3 linked regions of the Drosophila melanogaster genome follow. The protein of the gene in region 1 interacts with the protein of each later gene in a pairwise test. Each region holds a gene or a part of one and is shown in the gene's direction. Other genes may lie near its edges.

What was found.
Region 2: the proteins of slou (region 1) and CG17666 interact in a two-hybrid assay, tested with the Drosophila melanogaster proteins (one large-scale study listed by BioGRID).
Region 3: the proteins of slou (region 1) and Mst87F interact in a two-hybrid assay, tested with the Drosophila melanogaster proteins (one large-scale study listed by BioGRID).

Annotation. Positions count from the first base shown.
Region 1 is NT_033777.3:21,554,183-21,559,126, reverse strand, and holds the start of slou (slouch), read left to right. Parts: upstream 1-1,944; 5' UTR 1,945-2,268; coding exon 2,269-3,495; intron 3,496-4,336; coding exon 4,337-4,595; intron 4,596-4,944. UniProt on the Drosophila melanogaster protein: May play a role in specifying the identity of particular somatic muscles and neurons of the CNS.
Region 2 is NT_037436.4:12,779,701-12,784,981, forward strand, and holds CG17666 (uncharacterized protein), read left to right. Parts: upstream 1-1,624; 5' UTR 1,625-1,761; coding exon 1,762-1,817; intron 1,818-1,874; coding exon 1,875-3,569; intron 3,570-3,603; exon of another isoform or gene 3,604-3,687; coding exon 3,688-3,990; intron 3,991-4,044; coding exon 4,045-4,609; 3' UTR 4,610-4,677; downstream 4,678-5,281. Other genes in the region: CG10969 (uncharacterized protein), read right to left, coding at 1-1,321.
Region 3 is NT_033777.3:13,826,547-13,829,810, reverse strand, and holds Mst87F (Male-specific RNA 87F), read left to right. Parts: upstream 1-1,802; 5' UTR 1,803-1,979; intron 1,980-2,124; exon of another isoform or gene 2,125-2,232; intron 2,233-2,322; 5' UTR 2,323-2,340; coding exon 2,341-2,511; 3' UTR 2,512-2,660; downstream 2,661-3,264.

The DNA of each region.
Region 1 (4,944 bases):
AGAGAGCGAGAAAGGGAGACAGCGAGAGTGAGAGGGAGAGAAGGCCACATGCGACAGCAAGAGCAATTTTCCGCTTTTCCGCAGCGCCAAAAGTTTGATGTCTATGTAAACAGCGGCTTTCGTGTGTGCGTCTGGCGAACTGCCAATTTTGCCGGCCCACTCACACACTCACACTTATGCATACATGCACACATACATATGTATGTATATGGACATTCTATAGCGTGTTCCGTATACGTCGGCTGTTTGAGCGCACTTAAATAATGAATAATGACGAGACAAGCAATTAAAATAATTTGCGGTTTTACCGTGCGTATGCGCATCATTTAATTTTGCATGTAAAGAGTTAAGCACTTATTACACAGCGAGAAACGGGCCCAGCCAAAGGATGATGTCCCACTGTCGTGGATGAGCAACCGAGTGTGATAATGCGCTGAGTGCGGAGTATAGTATATACGAGATTCCGCCATCAATGGGCCAATTAAAATGAGTGCCCGACGCTCTGGTGTTGGTGGCCAGCATCTTAAAACTAATTAAAACGAAAAACGGCATAACAAGCTGCTCATTAAGCATCCGAGTTCCCTTCGCCACCCCGATCTGCGGTTAATTATAGAAGGAAGAAGACGAGCCTTGCTAACGAGCGGCGAAGTGAAGCCAGTGGATATATAGAAGCAGTAGCTAACACCCAACATTCCAGCGTTGGAGTTCATTAAGCAGCGCCCGGTGTCCATTTAACGATGTCACTTATACGCCCCATTGTCCCCACAACCAAAAACGAATCAGAAGAAAAACCCCCAGAGCCGAGTGGCCTATCCCCAGTGAACCAGGCATCCAGCTATCCATTCATTCACCCCTCGACCACCCAGCCCGCCCCACTGAAGGCCACTGCTGCGATGCGTATAAACCGCAAATTGGATGCGATATTAAATCGTCTGTGCCAAAGCGCATATAAATTTTTGTTCAATTTTAAAGAATTTTCCGAGAGCGAGCAGGCGCAGGAGTAAGAGAGAAAGAAGCCCGACGAAAGAGAGAGAGAGAGAGTGCGAGCAGAAGAGCACGGCTATAGTGTGGCTGTCCCCCTCGAACGCTTTGAGTTTTACATAGGAAGTGTCAAGGAGAAAAACCACAAGGATGTGTTTTTTTTTCGTTCGAATAATAAAAGAGAAAGAAATCAAAAGCGAAAAGTAAATAAACCAACTAATTAGCAACATAATTACGGCCACGAAAATATTCAAAAATTCAATTAAGCTGAAGAAAGCACAAAGCATTCATGCATAAATGACTAAGAACAAACCAGGCATGCCAAAAGCAAAGCAAACTCAACACACAACTGGCGAAAATATGAAACAGAAAAACATATAGTACAAATAAATAAAAACAAGAACTGAGAGAAATGTGCAAAAAGTTGAGATCCATTTCGCAAGCACCCAACCGCATAAACAAACAAATTTTGCGCTAAATAATTTGACAATTACTCACATCCTCGGGAGGCGAAGGCTGCACGGATGGCTGGACAGCTGGCTGGCTAGCTGCGTGGCTGTATGGCTGGCCTTTGTTTCCATCGGGTGGCTATTACAGTTGAGTGAAGAACTATGTAAAACAGCACTCCGGAATCCTCTCCTCTCCTCTCCTCTCCTCTTCTCACGCGCTCGCATCCTGCCGCTCTGTGGCTTAGACTTGCGACAGACCATTACATTTGCTAACGAGTGGAAGGCAAATTAAATCATTAGATGCTAGTAGAGATTAGAGCCACGGCGGGGAGGAGCCAATCCACTCAAAGAACCACTCAGCGGTGGGCGTGTAGAGCGCCGCACAGAGAGTCACTCAAAGCAAAAACCACCACCATACCACGATAACTGCCTCCACCACCACCACCACCACCACCATAACCAGCACTACCACCAGAAGCAGAAGCAGCAGCAGCAGCAGCATCAGCATTTAGCTATTGACTTGCCACAGGCACACAACACGGCACATCTGTTGGATTAAGAACTCGGAGAAATCGGAAACAACCCTCATCATTACGCTTCTGGCTCTTGAGCGTGTGAGTCGTCGCGCGCGGATTACGACCAGGATAATCGGACGTCGGACGACGACGGCAGCAGCGGCAGCATAGGCAGCGTCCACGTCGGATATTGGCATCTCCGGATTCAGTCGATTGGCTGCCCTCAAGGTGACAAGACACGCAACGCGCAGTGAACACTCAGTGAACTCGAACTCTCAGTGAACGCCCAGTGAATCCAAGACAATATATCCAAAGACCCAAAAATGGTCATGTTGCAATCGCCGGCGCAAAAGGCCAGCGATAGTGCGTCAGCCCAAAACACAGCCGTCGGTGGCCTGATGAGTCCCAACTCGAACCCGGACTCGCCCAAGTCCAACACCTCGCCGGATGTGGCGAGTGCGGACAGTGTGGTGTCCGGCACAGGCGGTGGCAGCACTCCGCCAGCGGCCAAGATACCCAAGTTCATCATCAGCGCCAATGGCGCAGCGGTGGCGGGAAAACAGGAGCAGGAGCTGAGGTACTCCCTCGAACGGCTCAAGCAGATGAGCAGTGAATCGGGCAGCTTGCTCAGCCGCTTGAGCCCCTTGCAGGAGGACTCCCAGGATAAGGAGAAGCCCAATCACAACAACAATAACAGTCTAACTAATCACAATGCAAACAGCAATACACGTCGCTCGCAATCCCCTCCAGCATCGGTGGGATCCGTAAGCTTCTCCTCGCCAGCCCAGCAGCGAAAGCTCCTGGAACTGAATGCTGTGCGCCACTTGGCAAGGCCGGAGCCACTGCAGCATCCTCATGCGGCCCTGCTGCAGCAGCATCCCCACTTGCTGCAGAATCCGCAGTTCCTGGCCGCCGCCCAGCAGCACATGCACCATCATCAGCATCAGCATCACCAGCATCCCGCACATCCGCATTCGCATCAGCATCCGCATCCACACCCTCATCCGCATCCCCATCCGCATCCGTCGGCGGTCTTTCATTTGAGGGCTCCCAGCAGCAGCAGCACTGCCCCACCCTCGCCGGCCACCTCGCCCCTGTCGCCGCCCACATCCCCGGCCATGCATTCCGACCAGCAGATGAGTCCACCCATCGCTCCCCCCCAAAATCCGCCACATTCCTCGCAGCCACCACAACAGCAGCAGGTTGCCGCACCATCGGACATGGATCTCGAGCGGATTAAGCTGGTGGCTGCGGTGGCAGCCCGCACCACTCAAGCTTCCAGCACCTCCGCCTTGGCGTCCGCCTCGAACTCCGTGTCCAATGCCAGCATCTCCATCTCCAACTCCAGCTCCGGATCGCCCAGTGGACGCGACTTGAGCGACTACGGATTCCGAATACAGCTGGGTGGCCTGGCGGCGGCGGCAGCTGCTGCGGCGGCCACCTCGCGTCAAATTGCAGCAGCCACATACGCGAGGAGCGACACCAGCGAGGAGCTCAACGTCGATGGCAACGACGAGGACAGCAACGATGGATCGCACAGCACGCCGTCGGTAAGATAACTAGATTTCAGTGCACTAAGTGCAAGGATTTCGTAAAATCATATAGAAAAAGTTTAGATTAAATGTTTTGTGATTTTAATATTAAGGTGTGCCAATTATACAAAATGGATTTATTAAAATACTGGTTCTAAAATGAAGGCTGTTAGTGAAAATTTGAAAACTTAAATAGCAAATTTATTATTAATGTTGATATTTATTGCCCACACAATTGGTAGCTTTTATTAGCGTTGGCTAATACAAATTGATTTTATGTTCTGCTCAATTAGCTTTTTTATTAGATTTTGCGTTCGAGTAATTAACCCAATTAACACTTGGTCGAGAAAATATGCCAAAATTAACCTTTTTGTATGTTTATAGCTCGATTTTGAGATTTTCATTTTGTTTTTAAGCGTGTGGTATGTTGAGGAATTTGATTTATATCTATAGATTTTTATTTATAATTGGTATACTTTTCCAAATATATTTTTTATATTTTAGTTTAACTAAATTATATCACCTAGGACAACTAAGGTACACAAATTTTAAGTAGTTTACCAGTCGGTGATTAAGGTATTCCTTTCAACACTCAATTTAAAAACTTACCAAGAAAAGGCAACTGGTTCTTAATTAAAGCTGTTATCGAAATAATTATTTGACTCATTTTTGCAACAAACCATCTTTACAAGGTAGAAAATTATTCAAAACAATTAGTTTTTAAGATCAGTTTGGCAATTAAACGTAGGATTTATTCAATGCAAAGTGGTGAATATTGCTAGCAAATAAAGAGCAATAATTGCTGTCAATGAATTCATTACTTAATTCTATATCCCTACTTTCCCCTATATCCTTGTAGGTCTGCCCAGTGGATCTGACGCGATCGGTGAACAGCAGTGCTGCGGCGAATCCGAGTTCGGCCTCCACGAGTGCCTCCAGTGATCGAGATGCGGCCACAAAGCGGCTGGCCTTCTCCGTAGAGAACATACTGGATCCGAACAAGTTCACGGGCAACAAGCTGCCAAGTGGTCCTTTCGGCCATCCCAGGCAGTGGAGCTACGAGAGGGACGAGGAAATGCAGGAGCGATTGGATGACGATCAGAGCGAGGATATGTCTGGTGAGTGGGGATATTTATTACTCAACTGACTTAGACCCCGGCCCCACACCCAATGAGTCCGCAATCACTTTGATGGTTAGCTGTCTGATTTGATTGAAATCGGGGGAAATTCAGGACACACCAACCAGGCACGTTCCCCCGAGTGTCTCTGTGCAACACTCCGTGCTCGAGTACACGGGCAATGAAAGGGGATGGGCAGGACACCTGCAAACAGCTCGACTTCCCATCCGCATCTTCTGTTTTTTCTGTGCCCGGGATTCCTGTGGGTGGTTGAAGGCACATGTTATATTTATACTGCTGCTTGTATCGTTTTTGGGTATGTTTTGATTTTGAATTTGGCTTTCCGTTT
Region 2 (5,281 bases), on another chromosome or scaffold:
GTTGCATTTGTTGTTCCATTTGATCACAGGTATTCACTTGCTGAAGCTGCTGACAAGGATACACATTCTGCATCTGCGGCAGAACTTGCTGCTGCATCGACTGCTGCAAATTGTATGCAAATGCTTTGCCAGACTGCTGCTGCTCCTGACACTTGAGACATCCTTTTGGTTTCACATTGGGACAGGGTGGATTTCGTCCACAATTTCGTTGCTGTTGCTGGAAGCAAGATGGTTGCTGCTGCAAGCAAGATGGTTTCTGCTGCAAGCAAGATGGTTTCTGCTGCAAGCAAGATGGTTTCTGTTGAAAGCACGGTTGTTGCTGTTGAAAGCAAGGTTGTTGCTGCTGAGGACAAGATCGTTGCTGTCCAAACCAATTACCATTCTGTTGCTGCGGACAACCCGTGCACTTATTGCACCTCGAAATCGATGGCGGTTCGTTGTTCATGTTATCATTTTCACAATCGAGGCTGAGGAAATGTGCTTCGGTAACCTGGCAAGCGGTGACTATTTCCGCTTCACCCATAATTTGGTGTTCCTCATCGCATATGGTCACGATATTTCCGCAATTGGGGACGTCGGATTGAAACCATTGGCAAGTACCAGGACGATGTCGTGTGGGATACTCTCCTCGAAAGCAGGGAATTATCTTCGAGTTCGATGGCTTCGGTTCCGTTTCTGGTATACATTCTGTGGGCTTTTCTTCCTCTATTATAAAATTGGTTTTCGTTTCCGGTTTCAAGTTCTCATGCGTTTCCGGGATTGAATTATTTGTGTCTTTCACTTCTGTTTGCTTGTTTTCTTCGGTCAAACTCGGAACTCCGGAAGGTATCTTTTCGAACTCTTTTTCTCTGGCCTTGGCGACGGATGCCTCACTAACCAGCTCTGGTATCTTATTGAACTCTTCTTCCCTGCTTTTTGCCTTCACTGTGGGGGATTCATTGCGACGTTTGGCTGAGGCCATCATAGACTGACCAGGAGTCTTTGAATTGGGTGGATCTCCTCCCAACACTGGTTTCACCGGCATACCCGCCTTCAATCGAACCGATGCCTTGGGCTTACTGTGCGACATCAATGGCACAAACTCTGGACTTCCCATCGATCTGCAGACACTTGCCTGCCGGCGACGACGAGGTGTTGGTGGGCAGGATGATCGGGAACGCACGGCTTCCTGTCCAGACGGTAAGCTCTGAGCCAGGGCTCGCACCAGCTGCTGTCCGACTCGATTGCTGTATTGCTCCGATGCTATGTTCCTCCTCGGAGGAGGACTCGCATGACGCCAATAGGGACTGGGCCTGGTTGACTTGACTCCGTCATTGGGCATTTCTTCTTTTTTCCCAAATACAATTTTTTGTCTCAGTTATACAATGCTTCCGTTTAAATTTGTTTTTTGGCGTGACAAAGAATTTTGTAATGTCATTTTTTTGACCAAAACTAAAAAGAGAGTTTTGGTCGACATAAATAGTAAGTTAAATAAACCAAGGAAGTCTTTTTGTTTACAAGGTTTCTCTTATATTCATATCATATTATAATCTGTAAAGAACACATATATGAAGATGGTAGCACCACTTTCAAAACGTTGTTTTATCACAACTGATCATGCAATGATTTTAACAATATAGTCTTAGTTTAGGACATCAAAAATATAAATTGTACCATTTACTTCTACTTTTTTATGATTTTGACTACCGATGTTATGTTTGTGTACTCTTCGTAATTGACCATGAGTGAAGGTGGACTTTTAAACAGAACCAGGAGTTGAAAATGTGCGATCCATGTCGATATTTAAGGAGGTGCATAAGCTGCCATGGCAATGGCTGGTAAGTATAAGAATATAGTTAGTGTCTCAACCCAATTGCATTTATACTCATCCGCAGGTGCTGTCCTCGACCAAGTTGCTGTGAGCGATCTTGTTCCTCTAATATGAGGAATTGTCGCGTCGTGTTTTCTGGGGAGTTCCAAAAGTTTTCGGACATGGTGCCGCCCAGTTTTCTTCTAAAGACGCCAGAGCGCCCAAAGAAAAGGAAACGATCGAAAAGTTGCTCAGCCTGTGGGGACAATTGTAAGGATCCGTGTTTAAACATGGATGCATGTGCGGAGAGTTGTGAGAATCCATGTCAAGATGGTAAGAATGGATGCAAGAATCCTGAAGATTGCGCGCAAGACGATCTAGCTAGAACTGGAGCCTACGGAACAGGCTTTGGCTTCCAACCGGGACAACCGACTATTATTCCGTGTTATGGAACTTACGGACCGACAGGAAATCCAATGATTTTTGGTATCCCGCCACCGACTCAATATGGAGGCTTTGGTGTACCTGGTCCCATAGTTCTACCAGTGGCTCCACCATCCTCGGTAGGTCAGGGTGATCCAAGATCTATTCCAGCGGCAGGTCTACCCACACAGTACACAAATAAGTTTAATCCCTGTACCGGAGAAGTCTACCAATGCGGAGATCGCCAAATGCCACCTGGAAGGCCACAAGGAACGGCGCAAGTACCTTCCTATAATCAATTTATACAGGGTTTAGGCATGAGCTGTGCCCCCAATAGTCAGTATATTCCATTCGATGCAACATTCCAACAACGTCCAATAAATCAAATGCCAGTCACTCCTACCTCAGGAGGAAGTGCACCAGCTTATGGCCGAAATAATCAACCAATGAACTGTGAGCCCAACAATCAGAATTATAGCTATACTGTTCCCCAATCAACGAATCAAGTTCATGTTGGTGCTAACAGATCTGAAGTCTATAACCAGCAGAGTCAAGCCACACATTCAAGGCCAGTTCCCCAATTGGAGTCATCAAAGGGGCAACTGCCTCATGGTAACAACAGATCTAAATCTCCAAATCAACGAAGCCCATCTAGGGGAGATCGATCAGGCAGAGCTTATGCCAATAATAATTTTCCTGAAAATGTTCATGCTAGTCCAGGTGCTCAGAGGTCCAAGTCGCTCAGTCACCGAAATGAGTCGAGGGAAGGTCGTTCCGGAAAACCACAAGCCAGTAGAGCCACAACCAATTATCATTCTAATAGTGGTGGAGATAGAAATGTAGATCATAGGTCCGCGCCCAAGTCAATGGCATCCGCTGGTGAAGTGCGTTCTCGTGATAACAACAGATCGTACGATTCAAGAAATCGTAATAAATCTGTAGGAGCACCTACCAATCGACAACCCGTACTTTATGACCAGCAGAGGGTGGGCATGGGCATTGATCCATCCAATCAGTATTATCCGTACAATGAATGCGCTCCACTTAATGCCACATTTGTCCAAGACCATAATCCTTTTTATGCTCAGCCAGGACATGACGTGAATAGAACGCAAGCAGCAAGTGCACCAAACTTATCGAAGGCAGGACCCAAAAAGGATAAAAATTCGAATAAAGTTCCATCAAGCTTTAAACCATCGAAGGAGAAATCCACTAAATGCTGCTGCACTCGGTTCGATCCCAACAATCAATACTATCCTCATTACGTTTCCGAAGAATCTGATTGTCCACCGGAAGAAAATGTGAACTCTGGAAAAAAGAAGACGCAGGAAAAGAATTGCCTTGAGCTTCTCAGCCGGTGAGTTTAATGTCAGAGTTCGTGAGCTATTACAGCTCTCGAATTAGGCTTACTCAATCCACCATTCGGCACACATCTTTAATCGAACACGAAGTAATGTCTTCCGTATCCATTGCAGCCTCACCGAGTCCTGTCCTCCGTGTGACCTGCAGAAGTGGTGTCACCTCCTGATGCCGAAGGACAAGGACAAGAGCAAAAAGCAAGCGAAACCGTCTGCCAAGAAGAATAAGAAATCGAATGGCTCAAAAGTCAAGAACAAGATGAGCGAGCACAGCAGCAACGAAATAGAAGGTACCGTAGCATCACCACAGGAAACACCAGAAGACGAGGATGCCCACTGCCCGTGTAACTGCAAGAAACCATGTCCAACGCCTCCGACAAAAGAAATGCGCACCTGCGGCTGCTCTGCCAATTTGCCTGAGTGAGTACCCACTTCTGTCCACTTCCATCAAGGAGTAATTAATGCGTTTCGCAGGGAAAACGAAGATCCTCCACCAGCACCCTCGAATCCTCCACCAGCACCCTCGAATCCTCCACCAGTACCCTGCAATCATGCTCCAGCTCCAGTAAATACCTGCTGCATGCCCTGCTCGAACCAATGTCCTTGGTCCTGGTACTATAATCCCTGCACCGGCTGTTACTACTACTGCGCGAATTGCTGCAATGGCTGTCGTAATTGCTGCAATTACTGCTGCAGTCCGTGCGGTTGCTGTTGCAGCAACTCCCCTGCTGCTCAGCTGGAGAAGATTCCTCCGAAGCCGAAGCAAAAGGAAAGGCAAGACAGATCGTCCAATAGCACGCGAAATTCCGGCGGCACGGCTGTGAGTTTGGGAAGCTGTGCTCCGCCTTCTACGTTTGCACCCTGGAAATGCCCAAGGCAAGAGGTTTCAACCATGCCGGGCTATTCTCCGACTGCCTCGCCACACTTCAGCTCTCCATACAGTGGGCGGTGGAAGGCTGGCTGTGTGGATAGTCATCGGAACTATCAACGGAATAACCAAGGTCCTCCTTTCAACATCGGCCGCGTGCACCATGTCTAAATTAAACGTTGAATATTTTTTACATTTTCACACAAGCCTATCTCAAAATAAAGAACATTTTGGAATGCACTTTTCTCTTCCTTTTTAATTGTTTATAATTTAAAAACAGGCATATTTCTACGATTTTCCTTAGTACTTTTTATTAGTTCAAATCGGTATTTTGTTTCTTTTTCATTTTATACACTCTTTTATGTGTTTCTCTCTTTTGTATACCATATACATATATAGATTTTTTCGAAAGTTTTGTGGGCTTTGCTTGTAGAAAAACTTAAAAAGTTTCTTTAAAATATAAATTTCTTGTCATAAAATTAAATACATCTTTAAAGTTGTTTTAGAAAAGACCTAACTAAAAACTATGAACATAGCACATTGTAAACATGTTTGTGTAGTGCAGCCATCAATATTGTATGGTATGTTTATAATATAATAATAGGGGAATATTAGATTGTTAAATAAGAAAATAGGCATTAAAACTACGGAGAAATTCTAGCACATGATATATGGATCTGGGTTCTCCCGCTTCCTCCTTTAAACATAGATTTAAACTGAGTTTGGCTTGCATATTGCCCTTTACGTTATGTAATGTGGTTTGCTTGGTTAGCTTTCGTGTTGTACATATATGTAAACATATATATAATATTATGGTTATCTTACGACTATATGGACTCTTGT
Region 3 (3,264 bases), 7.7 Mb from region 1:
ACGTGCCCAGAACTACCATTACCACTTTCCATTGGATTCTCAGGTTTCCTCTGTGCACCTTCAAATTGATCGGCAAGAAAACGAGCTGCAGCATTCTTCAACTTTGATTTAGACATCTAAATAATATTTAAGTTAACATCAGAGTACTATGTATGTATGTACATATATCCGACTTTCAGAACTGCGCCTTACTTTTCCTTTTTAGCGATCAGCTGCCACTTTTTAGGGGGCGGCACGTGCTTTCTTCACTTTCGTCGGCTTCTCGGGTTACCTGAATCCGCCGTTTACCCTTTCGGTCGCTCCTCACCTTTGGCCCCATTGACGGCCACGCCCCTAAAGTCATTATGGCGCACACTTAGGGATAGGCGGATATTGATTTCCCTGGGCTGACTGGCAGTACTCAGCGCTTTCCAGCCGATGATGATGACATCTGCGTGTGCCCATTGTGTTTCACTTTTCATCAAACTTATATTAATAAGTTGATGCGAGGGGCCATAATTAAAGCGAATTCGATATTTCCGGCCGGAGGAAAGACATTTGGTTCACTGAACCCAATAAAAATCCTTGAACTCCCGTCGCCAGACGAAATACAAAATATTTGTATACATATGTATTGCCAATAATCTATTTCAAACAAAGGCCAGCCACAAATATGAACGAAAAAACTAAGTTAGAGCAGCGTCTGCTGCCCTTTTGGCGGCACCCTCACAAAATTATTGACCAGAGTTCCATCCATCTCGAGTTTGAAAAAAAAAAACCAGAGAGCCACAGAGAGAAAAATTCAATGAAAGTCATTTAACCACATTTAGGTGGTAAGAAAATAATTATTTAAAATCTGCTACCGCTTTCCGATTCGATTGAGACGCGCTTCGTCACTAAGTTCGCTACTAGATTTATGTAACTAAGTTTGATTCACTTTATATTAGACACTTTGTAATATAAGCTAGATTTGTATTTAATATATCTTACTCTACTCTTGTTCACATTTCTTTGAGACGCCTTTCGTCACTACGCTATATATTTTTTCTATGATAGTGATTTTTCACCGTGCCGAAACAGAACGACTTTGAGTTGGACTTGTCCGTCTCCTCGGATGCGAGATTCTACCCAAATATTTCTGCTAGAAGGGAGAGGACTTCTGTGCGGTTTGACGACGGGGTTTTTGCTTCGGTTTCTGCCTCTGCTGATCGACACACACACAAATACATACATACATTCTAATCAACATGCGGCAAAACATATAATTCGAATTTTTGATATTTCGCCCGACCATTTTGCGAAGAAAATTGCATTTAAACGCCTATTATGCGCTTTTTATTTGCAACCCATACTTTTCTGCCCGAATGCTCCGGCTGACTCAGTCATGCACAAATACAAATCATTGTATAATCATTGTGTATAACACTAGGGTTCCATTTTGGAGGCTGGCGAGCTCTGTCAACTGGTCCACTAGGCTTCCTGCTTTTCGGGAGTTAATTAAATCCGAAATCGTAAAATCGTTAGCAAATGAAATAAATTGCGCTCAATTACACCGAGTGACATCCAAGGCGCAATCGCTGGTGATTGACCTCTTTCAATGCGACGACATTCTTGGCTCGATTCGGCTGGGGAAAAAAACCAAGAAAAAACAAAATAAAAAACATAAGCAACACAAGTCTTCGGTCAGATAATGAACTTAATATACACTTGCATATATAGTATACCCGTTCAGCCCCGATACCCGGATTCTCGGCAATCGGCAATCGGCTATGCGCCATGCACTTAATCAAAAAGTACGACAAAATCAAGAGTAAACAAAAGTGCAGCGCAGAACTCGACTTGAGAACCGGCAGCGATTCGAACTTCAGCCGGGTGCAATGAACACATGATCCGACAAAACAAAAATTTAAATCTCATTTACCTCGTTTATATGTTACAGTGCACTGGAAAAATAGTGGCAACTTGATGCGTTCCTACCAAGTTGGATGATAACTACATAGGTAGGATCGAAATATAAAGGTTAATTCACATGAAGATTGAGCATTTCCCTACTTACAATACAATCATTATAAGCTTTAGCCAATGCTTTAAACAAAATATTTTATATAGTATCCTTTGCCTCTTCAGTCCGACTTGTCAAACCGATATACCTGTGCGTAACCAGATTTTGTATCATTATTATTTGTCCTTTCGGCCTGAACACATCAAAATTTGTCGTCTAGTCTCAAATTATTTCTTTTTGTTCGGTTCAAAGTGAGTGAAAATAAGTGAAAATTTACAAAAATGAAAATGTGTAAAAAATTCCTATGGCATATCATTTAAACGTACCTTTTCTCCCTTCAGAACTTTTACGAATTAATCATGTGCTGCGGACCCTGTGGACCCTGCTGCGGACCTTGCTGCGGACCCTGCTGTGGTCCATGCGGACCATGCGGAGGAGGATGTGGACCCTGCTATGGACCGAATGTCTGCGGACCATGCTATGCCTGTGGACCCTGTGGCGGCTGCTATTGTGGATACCCTTGCTGCTAGACAGTTGCAACTGGCCATGTCCAAGAAGGGTTCACCAGAACACCAAGACGATAGGATAGAACCTATCCCTATTTCATCCTCGTATTCATCTAATATTCGTGAACCACAAATATAGGTATTTGAGACAATAAATATGAGGTGTAAGCTTCAAGAAGGTTTGGTTTTTGATTAGTGATAATAGTCAAATGCAATTTGCTTAGCCAAATATCTGATTTTAGAACACAGATACAGATGTTTAGACGCAAATGCGACCTGAATTAGAATCGATCCGCAGTCTTCTAATGCGATGTGGTCGACCTTGACGTTTCGCCGAGAGTTTATTGTCCTTTCAATAGAACACGCTAAATAAAACTTATTTAAGCAGGTACATACATATTTAACCCGCACACAGTCATGCATGTTCTTGTGTTTTTGTTTTTATTTTTATTTTTATTTTACTTTTGTGTATATTTACTGCACTAATTCTGCGACGAACTAGTTTCGGCACAGCGGATTCCGATTCCTGAATTCCGAGCGGTATTAAACGACGGCGAAGCGCAAAAAGTCAACAAAGTGCATATAAAAAATATATTTAAATTTACCCGAATGCCGCCGTCTCCAGTCGCCGATCCGATCCCCCTGGAGATGACCGCCCCCCCCCCCCCACCCCTTTTTGGCCATATTTCTGGCCAACTCCAGCCAATCCGAAACCATCATCAGCTGACTGGATCTACGCGCGCGCCTTTTTAATTGCATCGTTTTTATTTGTGCGAC